2 linked regions of the Caenorhabditis elegans genome follow. The protein of the gene in region 2 purifies or fractionates together with the protein of the main gene of each other region. This does not show direct contact. Each region holds a gene or a part of one and is shown on either strand. Other genes may lie near its edges. The genes, in order: egg-5 and mbk-2.

What was found.
Region 1: the proteins of mbk-2 (region 2) and egg-5 purify together in Caenorhabditis elegans (affinity purification with western blotting, with the first as the bait; one study listed by BioGRID). This does not show direct contact.

What each region holds. Positions count from the first base shown.
Region 1 is NC_003279.8:4,168,209-4,173,564, forward strand, and holds egg-5 (Inactive protein-tyrosine phosphatase egg-5), read right to left. Parts: upstream 3,382-5,356; 5' UTR 3,380-3,381; coding exon 3,117-3,379; intron 3,069-3,116; coding exon 2,191-3,068; intron 2,143-2,190; coding exon 1,403-2,142; intron 1,333-1,402; coding exon 1,043-1,332; intron 967-1,042; coding exon 876-966; 3' UTR 776-875; downstream 1-775. Other genes in the region: R12E2.11 (Orotate phosphoribosyltransferase), read right to left, coding at 4,640-4,742, 4,784-5,049, 5,101-5,356. UniProt on the Caenorhabditis elegans protein: Inactive phosphatase which acts redundantly with egg-4 in the oocyte-to-zygote transition. Required for polarized cortical actin cytoskeleton rearrangement in the oocyte before and after fertilization.
Region 2 is NC_003282.8:13,007,254-13,012,458, reverse strand, and holds the start of mbk-2 (Dual specificity tyrosine-phosphorylation-regulated kinase mbk-2), read right to left. Parts: upstream 3,302-5,205; coding exon 3,230-3,301; intron 3,000-3,229; coding exon 2,944-2,999; intron 2,823-2,943; exon of another isoform or gene 2,802-2,822; intron 1-2,801. UniProt on the Caenorhabditis elegans protein: Required for oocyte-to-zygote transition in which it phosphorylates oocyte proteins, including mei-1, oma-1, oma-2, mex-5, and mex-6, modifying their activity and/or stability following meiosis.

The sequences.
Region 1 (5,356 bases), on a different chromosome or scaffold from region 2:
TTTTAATTTGACCTACTTAAAAAAGTAGGTCATGACCTATTTTTAATTTGACCTACTTAAAAAACTAGGTCATGACCTATTTTTAATTTGACCTACCTAAAAAGTAGGTCATGACTTATTTTTAATTTGACCTACTTAAAAAGCAAAATTTTTAAAAAAATGCAGAGTTGTCAAATTTTAAGCTCTTTCTGAAATATATTTTTAAAAAATTTCAGTTTCAGAAGCTTTGAGTTGAATCAAAAAACTGAATTTTTAGGCATATGTTTGACCGAACTTATTTAGATGCACCATAACCAATCATTTTTTAGGATATTTATCCGGTTTTCATAACTTTGAAAATTCATAACTCACTTAAAATTAACTTTTTTCAGAATGTTTCTTCGGGGACTTGTGTCAAATTTCAAGCTCTTTCTGAATTTTAAATCAAAATTTTTTTCAATTCCAGAAATTAGTAGATTTTTCTAACTTTGAAAATTCATATCTGACTCCAAATTAAATTTTTCAAAAATCCCTGTAGCCATTTCGTTGCAAATTTTGTGCTCTTTCAGAATTTTCGCAAGTATATCTTGCAATCCGAAACGCAGTCTCTAAATTTTCCCTCGCCAAAATATTCTCCTCTATAAACTGATAAATTAAAACATTTTTAATCGTTATTGTTGTCATCAGGATTCCGACAATTCCCCTTCATTGTGAAGTCACTATTTTTTTATTTTTTGCCGATTCCGATTTTTCGTTTCAGCTTGCCAATTAGGTGTTGAATTCGAAAACATTAGCTGACAGTTAAAATGCATTTTATACAGTATCATGCAATATTTCACAGAATGTTATAAATAAAAATAATAATAGTGAGTGTGGGGGTTTAGTATACATGAAAATTAGAATTCGAAGACGCTCTTCGCTGGTGAAAGGATCCCGTCGACAGCCGCCACCTTGTTCGGCATCTCTCCAACACAATCGGGTGCCTCACTGAAAAATAAAACATTTTTAGAAAGAGAATTAATTCAATTTGAATAATTTTTTTAATATGTAAAATAAAACATACCGTCTGTAGTTTGGTCTTTCAGGTCTTCCAACCATTCGAACAATGTCTGGATCTGCTCTTGGAGACAGCAAACGATAGCCAGGAATTGGAGCAGCAAGATCATCAAGGAACATGCGTTCGGATCGTTCTTGGAGCCATCTTTCATAATCGACATCCAACTCCTTTGCACTTCCAATGACGTCACGGAAGAAGAATGCAACAAGACGATGCACAAAGATGTACTGCATGGGAGTCTCGATGCTGAATGGACGGCGCTGACGAAGAAATTGGACAGCTCGTTGTACTGGGTACTGAAAATGTGTTTAATTGAATTGATTTCACCATTTCCAACTTAAAAAGTCACTAAATTCTGATACAAACCTTGTAAGTTGGCCCTCGGAGCAAACTGCAAATGGCAATCTCGGCAGCAACAAGACAAGCCGCTCTAGAAACTCCCAAATGATCATGGATAACGACTGGCTTCGACGCGTTGCGAAGTAAACGAAGAATATTTAATGGAGAGTACATATTCGATGAATTGTTCACGTCTCCTTGCCAATGTTCCACGTGACGTTCCTCGCGATCCGGTCCAATGAGACGAAGATGAGTGACACGGAACAATGGGTCTGGAGCTTGATAGACACCAAAGTTCTCGATTCGAAGTCCACCAGGAACAGTAACGGCGGGATCCGACGGAGATTTTGGCCAGTAATATTCACATCTTTCCGGTTCCTTTCTGCTGGTTAGCATCACAATGTATGGAACTTCCTCCTGCCAAACCATTCTCCAAAAATCATCAACGGTGTTCTTCATTGGAGCTTGAGTCATGATGAACTCATTGAACAGCGGCTTTCCAGAAATCCGATTTGCGTGAATGAAATCTCCGAGATACTGACCGCGTGGGAATTGGAGAGCGATTCGAGTGGAATCCCTGCAGTGAACACGTGGATTACGGCACTTTTCCTGGTTGTTGTCTGAAGCTGAGTGAGTGAATGGGATGTGGTTGACAGAGTTCTCGAGGATTTCAAAGCGTCGCTCCATTCCTCCGATGATGGTTGACAGATACTTCGCTTTTCTCGCTGCTCCAAACATCCGCTTTCCGATTCGAATGTTGTTGTAGACTGAAAAAAAGTTAATTAATTAAGGAAAATAATTATTTATTTTCTTACACTGTCCAGCAACACGAACTCGGTCTCTGTCAGCAAGAACATTTGCCTTGAAAGCTTGAACTCGCTTTTGCATCGTAGAAGCGTCGAGTTCACGAAGTAGGTATTCAGCCAGTGTCTCATTCTTGACGGCTTCTGGATGAATATCCGAAATCCATGTGCTGGTTTGATCATGTGAAAGAAGGCGCATCAGAAGCACCTGATCTCTTGCGGATTTCAGATCGATGCGATGATTTGTGAAGAAAGTTGAGTTGATTCCGAACTTCTCACAGATGCTTTTCAACGGCATCACCCATCCTTGACCGTTCACTGGACGCTTTGGCTTCTTTCCATTCTCATCCCGACGCATGTAGATGTCTGTGTATCGACCCTTCCATTTCGAGTCGAACTTTGAAGAGAAAAGCAGCTCTTGAGTGATCTCGGTGTCATCATAACTTGAACGAATCAAATTAGCCATTGCTTCCTTTGTCACCTTCTTATTGCATGGAGTAATCGATCCAACACGGGATTCTGCAGAAGCTGCAATTTTGTAGGCTGCATGAAGAGAGAAAGCTCCTGGCGATTGATGATTTTCTAGGACAGCATTCTTCATCTCCAATGCTTTCCGAGTCTTCATGACCAACGCTGGTTCCACTTGCATCGCAGTTCGGGCGGCAAATACTTTCATCCGAACATCGTTGAAGTGTCCCTTTGCCATCTCAATGTCGGCTCCATGCCCGGAATCCTCGCTTCTTCCTTCGTCCTTTGGTTTCTCGGAGACAAGACAGTCGAGAGCTTTGGATTTCCGCAATTTCGATGGAGCTGCATAAGTAGACGGAGCACCGCGTGGGACTTCAATCGCATCCTCTTCCGAGTTTCCGTTCAGACGCTCCTTGGATCTTCTGCAACATAAAATATTAATTTTCTAATACTTAAGAATCTCAAAGTACCTGTCCTTCTGAGCGAGCTTCTTCACTTTCTTCCGGAAACTCTTGCTAAGCGTGCTCTCGCTGTTGAATCTGGCTCTCATGCAGCTCACTCCCTTTTGTTGAGGATAATCCACCATCATATCCATGTTATCGGTGCTATCCGCGGAGGAGTCGTCGGTGTTTCCGGAGCAGAAGCTTTGAAGCGACGTCGCTCGCTTCCGGCCAGCTTGTGAGCGCATCGCATTGATTTGCTCGCGGAACATCACTTCGCTGTTCAACGCCATACCTGGAAAATAAATAAGCTTATTAAACGGCAGAAGAGACAGGAAAAACGATTTTGGGAGAGCACAAAATGGAAATTAGACGAATACGCGGATTTTTAATAGAAAATAACTGCGAAAAATACTGTTTAAACAACTGAACGGAAAAAGTCGAAGTTTTAGGAGAACAAAGAAAGAAAAAATTTCGGAAGTTTCCAGAAAACAAGTGCAATCATTTCGCTGAGCGGACAAAATACAAAATTTCGCGCTCTCCCAAGAATGTAGAACAAATTGTAGAACAAAGGTACGGTAGCAGATAATGTGTGTATTTGCGTACTTTTTTTTTGCATACCGTACTTTTCTTTACTTAATCGCACATTATAACGGAAAACGCATGTTTAATTAAAAATAGATTTTTTAAAAATTGTTTATAAATATTCAATATACGGAAAATCTGATTATGCACTTCGTGGGGATCGAACCAGTGTCCTGCTGTGCCTCCCTTATTCCCCACTGCACCATCAACCACTGCTGTTTCGCAGTCTCCGTCTCCTCGACAACACACACTCGTCGCTTCTCGCTTGCCTCGAAATGTGTCGGTACACACGTTTGGGTAAGAGGAGAGGACTCGTTGGTATCTTCGGTTTTAACCCAGTTACTCAAGGTACGCTGGAGTTCTGACCTTTCGAAAGAAAGTGTCAAACGACTTTAATTTTTGGAACCGCTCTGCTGGGGTCATCCGGTAGAGCAAAATAATTGAATCCGATTTTAAAAGTTTATTAAGTTTTATGTGCATTAATGACTGACTTGCAATTCTTAGCGAGAACTGTTGAGCTATGATAGATGGTGCGAGTTTTATCCTTTGTGAACACTATTTGGAAAAGGTTTTATTCACTTGAAATCGTTTCAGGGAAAGAACATGAGAAGATTTGATTATGCTTTAGCTAAATTCCAAAAAAAAAAATTATTAAGACATGCGGAAGAAGAATTAAACCAGGATATATCACAACTTGGGAAGGAATCAACAAGCCAAAAAATAATGAAAATTATTCAGCAAACATGGTAGAAAGTGATGAGAAGAAAATATAAACACACAAAACATCACATAAAACGCTAAACAAAAATTTAATGAAACCTTTTTTCCATTTTTTAAATTGGTCCATCAATTTTCTTGTTTTATGTGATGCGATGCATGTGTGCTAACAAGGAAGTTTATTGGAATATTATGAAAATGAGAAAACAAGTTCACAAATTGGTAGAATATGGGGTGCAACAATGAAATTTTTAGAAAGGTTTAGCAAGATGAGCAATAATCTCGTGCTTTCGTTCCTCGGTCATCTCGTTTTTCGTGATCAGGCCGTCGAGGATCTTCTCCATTGTCAAAAAGCTGAAAAAATTTGATTTTTAATTAAAACGAAAAAGCCTCACCTGAGGAAGTTAAGATTATCTTCTGCGAGATTGGCAGTTGCTCCCTGTTGTCTATCCAAAACAGCTATGGCATCAGTGACCAACAGATTCTCATTGCGAATTGCTTCTGCTGTCTCACGAATTGATTCACCTGATGTGACGACATCTTCGACAAGAAGTACTGTACCACCAGGCTGATAGACTCCTTCGATAAGTTGCTTTGTTCCGTAGGCTTTGGCTTCTTTTCTTTTCATAAGCATCGGCACATTGAGAATATCAGATACAAGCTAAAAACATTGAGTCTCATTTTTTAGTGTGAATTATTTCTGAAAACTGACGGTAGCAAGTGGAAGGGCAGCATATGGTACTCCAACAACATAATCGAATTTGAGGTTTGAGGCGACAATTTTCTCACACATAGCTTGAGCAGCCATTCGGAGCACACGAGGAGAGCTCATTATTCTGCGAAGATCTATGTAGATTGGAGTCATCTGGCCAGATTTGAGGTAGAACTCCCCAGTGCGAAAACATTCCATTTGATAGAGATTCTCGAAAAAATCAGTTTCCTGGATTGGTGAAGCGGCCTGGACTTTC
Region 2 (5,205 bases):
GCGCGCGAGGAAGAGCCGCCTCTTTCCAGAAGAAAATGAAGGAATGAATGAAGGCAGGGAGCGATAAAAGAGGAGATAGAATTTGTGTTGGAAACTACATTTACAGGCGATTATTGTGTAGTATTAAGTACAAATCTCACAGCTTTGTAAGAGTTTTGGGGCTCTCGAGAAGGAGGAGGAGGAGGACTTATAAGCTTATGCAATTTGATCAAAAGTGCTAAACTTGGCTGAAATTTCAGAATCAAGCAGGTTTGTAGTTGTTTTGTAGAACTAATTTTTGCAAATATTAAAAATTTTAATTTGAAAAAGTTAGATCGTTTCGGATCAAAAAAAATTTCTCCGAAATTTGTTAGTAAGTCAAAAACTAATAATTAAAACTGAGAATTAAAAAAAATTACAGTAAACTTTTTGATTTACAACTATTATAAAACCGTAGTTTAAAAATTGCAAACTGTGACATCTCGGAGAAAAGCCAAAAAAAAAATTGCAAAAACTGTATGTTTTTACAGCTCCAACCATTTTGGCAATAAATAGGACAAGTATTTATTTTTACTGAAAAACTGGAAATTTGGTCATTCACAATAGGAAGTAATTTCTAAAACTACAGAAAGTGCTAAACAACACACAAAGCCAGCTAGCGGAGGATCGTTGCGAGTTGACCAGGTAGATCAAAAACAAAAAAAAATTGTACATACATCTCAAGAATCTGTAGATCACTGTATACAATCATAAAAGGTATGGAAAGCCTCTCCTAACGACTAATGAAAAAGGGAATCCCTGTGAGAGAGGCGAAGAACGATGAAGAATAGAAAAGACGGGTTTTTTACGAGTTGTTTCCATCATGGCCCGGCGTGTGTGTTGCCTCGGTTGGTTTGATTACGATGCCTCATTTTCCCGACCGCAAGGTCCTCCTAGTCTCCACCATACAGGTAAAGAAAACAGAAAACACTACCGAATTAGTACTTGTAATTAAAATAAAAATGTGTGTGTGTGGGGATAGATAGGGGAACGCGAGAACCTTATCTGGGGGAGGGTGGGGAAAGCGGGACTGAAGACTAACACAAGTGATACAGAGAGACAAAGATCGGAAAGATTCGGTGCGGATTTTTGATGACCAACATTTGATACGGTACTTTTGTGAGGAACGCTTTTTTTTGGAAAAAAATATCGTAGTTTTCTGAAAACTTCAGCACAAGGTTTGGCGAATTGGCAAAATTTTTTGCAAACTTTGAATTTTTCAAACAGAACCTTCACAATGTTTAAAAAAATTAAAACTGAAAATTTGTAGAAAAACCCTTTCTTGGTCAATTTCTTGATGTATGGAAATTCAGGAAAAATAGTTTTCTGCAACATTTGTATCACAACGAACAAAATAAAATTTTTGCACATTTGCTCTTAGGCTTGCGAATTTTTCTTTTAACTAAATCTAACAAGATCAAAAAGTTCCATAATTATTTCGTTCAAGTGAACAAATCTCTTGACACTTAAAAATCTCTAAAATCAACCTGTTTTCAAGAAACCATAAAATGTTCGTTTTCTGTAAATTGTCTACTTTCAAGTACAATCTATCTCATTTTTCCTCTTCTCACACACATTGAAATCGTACTTCGAAGAACAATCAGAAAACGTCTTGAAATTGGATAGGGTTAAGGGGGCAAGCACAAAAGGAGTCATTAAAGTTCCATTTTCAAAAAGTGGAGGAAAAAACTTCTGATGAGAACATCATGACGTGCAACTAAATTCTCCCTTCCCGGATATTTTCCTATCATTTTTCTTCGAAGAGAGGGTAAAGGGAGAAAAAGGCCAAGGGAACACTGATTGACTCTTTGAGCATTTTTACACTTTGTGTGTCTCGTTTAAAATGTTGTTACATTCAAAATTGTGAGAAATCGACGAGAGATAGGATTTGAAAAATTGTTCAATTGAAGCATAAGTTTCTACTGAAAAGTCGCTTAAAATTGCAAGTGGCTGAGGAAGTGATTTGATTTTTTTAAAATTTTTTTTAACCAAAAAAATACCGACCTCTACGTCTACTATAAAATATGCGTAAACTTACATGAGGTGAACACTAAAGGCCAGAGTTCAACTTAAAATAAAGGAAATCAGCAAACAGTAGGCAGGCAGGCAGGCATAAGGATATACCTACCAACAATTTAACAATTTACATTACTCCCTTTCTATTGTGACTAGACAACGGGGCCGCCTTACTCAAACGCCAATGCCAATAAACTACGTTAGCTTAGGTCTAACTGTTTTGTTTTAGAGTATGTAAGCTTCAAGGTATTCTAAAACAGCTGTTTTCAGAAAATGAATGTTTTGAAACTATTAAAGTGGGAGAAAAACAAAATTTTTAACAAAAATGTATTGAATCCTGATTAAAATTGCAAAATCAAACAGGTCTGAATCAAAAAAGAAATGATTGACTGTGAATCTAATTGTGAAATCGCTGGTATACCATTCTTGGGTACTCTTGATGACAAATACTCCCCCCACTCCTCCTTTTTATTGAAAAGAAAACACCTCTTCATTGAATGAGAAGGGTTCTCGATCTCAATTTTCATTGATTTTTTTCCTTGTTCCGCCTTTAGATTTCTATTACAATAATACATTGTGATTTTCAAAACATGTTCCAATTTCCAACTAATTAGGCCCTTTACACCAGCTTTTCAACTAATCAGGTTAAGCATAAATGGACAAAAAACATCAAAAAGTTTTCTCAAGGACCCCACAGGGTGTAAAGTTTAATGGGATCCATATGGTGGTCAATGGGGGGGGGCTTTCAAGGAAAATAAATGACCGTCTGCTGCAGGCACGACTTTTGAATATTTCTAGAAATTTCCTTAAGAACTTCAAAGTAATTCGAAATTGCAATATTTTAAACTACATACGTTTAGTGGGAAAATTGAAGAAAAAATTTGAAGAGAAAAAGAATCAAAAGCTCACTGTGAAACTGATCTTCCTTGTGCATCCAGACTCATTACACTGCGATCTCGCTGACCCTGAAATGATTTTTTTTGAATTTTAGGAGCAATTTGTTTAGAATTTTATAATCCTAGTAGAACTATAATAACTAGTAATATCAAAAATGAACATTTAAGAAATCACACAAAAGTTCAGAAAAAAGTCAATATCTTTACTTTTTCAGAGGAGAAATTTAAAAATTTTCAAACTCCATTTCAATTTGAAACTATAATTACATGCACTACTAATAGAGGTATAGCACACCCACCTGTTGTGTAACATCAATCGGTTGTTGCCCGTAACTTCGACTGTTACGTGTGAACGAGGCAAGAGCAGCCATGCTTCAACTACTCTAGACTGCTGCAAGTTTGGGAGAGAATTCCTAAAAATTTTTTGTACTTTTTAATACAATTTGTGGTAGGGGGTAATAAGAGAGTTGACGACGAGTAGAGGGTAATCGGATCAAATACATTTTGTTATCAATGGGAGAAACACCTCACCGAACGTGGGGACAAGTTGGAGCAGATAAGAAAAAGGGGCAAATGATGTTGGAAGAGTCCGTTTTTCTCCCCCTGTTTCTCTTTTACTCTCTAGGAGGAATCCACCAAATTTTTTTTTTGCAGAAACTTGTGTTGTGTTGCGGGTTTGTGGAAGAGCATATGGGAATTGGAGACATAGAGTACGGAGCAACAAACGTTTTTTGAATGGTACACCTAACGGGGTGGAGAACGATGATAAATTGATAGGCAGGCAGTGGATGCTTGGAACGCATGGAGCAAAACTTTTTAGTGAACTTGCTTTGAAAATACAATATAATATAAAAACAAAATAGCGTGAAACTTATTATTAGTGAACCGAAATACGTTAGATGCACAATGACAACAGTGATAAGAAAACGAGATAACTAGATATTTACGCACTTTTAAAGTTCTTCTCCCCATTTTTACGACTAACAATTGGCTTATCAAGAGTCACGAGAGGAGCATCAGCTGGCACCGACCAAAATGGTTTTTTTTCAACTTCCCCTTGTAAGGGAAATTTCTGAACTTTTCCAAAACTTTCTTCCCATAATCTTTGCGCATTCCAAATGTTTTCAAAGCATGCCTTATGAAAACTTAATGCTAATAGTTTTTGATGTCTGATATAAAATGCAAAAATATGGATATCATATGATCAGCGGCAGGAAATATTAAAAAGGGGAGTCTAGAAATAAACAGGCTGAAATTTAAAAAATAGAAGTTAGGGAAGGCATAGAGGATAGGGACCAAGAATGGATAAGCTCAAGCCTAAACCCAAGCCTAAACCCAAGCCCAAACCCAAGCCTAAACTCAAACTTAAACCCAAGTCTAAACTCAAAGTTAAGCCCAAGCCTAAACCTGAGGCTAAACCTGAGCCTAAACCTGAGCCTAAACCTGAACCTAAACCCAAGCCTAAACCCAAGCCTAAACCCAAGCCTAAACCCAAGCCTAAACCCAAGCTTAAACCCAAGCCTAAACCCAAACTTAAACCCAAGCCTAACCCCAAGCCTCAAGCCTAAATCCAACCCTATCTTGAACCTTAGCCTAACACCAATCATAAACAAAAGCTTAAGCCCATAGCAAATCTAAAATCCTATAGCAACCTAAACCCTAGCCTAAGATTAAACCTGAGAATTCTCTCTTATTGAAGCTTAATTGTGTACAAATAACTTATCTGGCATTGGATTCCTGATTGTGAGACGGTTAACGAAATGTGCAAAAAGTGAGAAGAATTGAAAGTAATAAAATAATTGAACAAAGGCAATTTATTTTTATTTCATACCACGTGGATGACCGTGTAAGTTTATTTTGGGTTTCACGCAAAGTTACTTTTTGAAAAATTTTCCAATTAGCATAGTATGTAGACTCGAGGAAAATTGGCATATTTGCTTGGCAAAAGCAAGCCTAAATGAAAACCAGAGCTTCTGCTAAAATTAACTAAATATGTGGTAGGCAAGCACAAAAAAACTAAACCCAAGCCTGAATCCAATCCTAAACACAAGCCTAAACCCAAGCCTTAACACAAGCCTAACAAAGCCTAAACCGGTTTTACCCTGCCTAAACCGGTTTAACCTTTCACGTAAGTGTTTAAAATTTTTTCTCCAATTTTCAAAATTGAGTTGGTCCGAGGTAAGTAGGCATATTTGCCTGCCAACGAATGACTCGTACCTACCCCCAGCGTACAACAAGGCAGGAATGTAGGCCGTATTTTTTATTAACACATGGA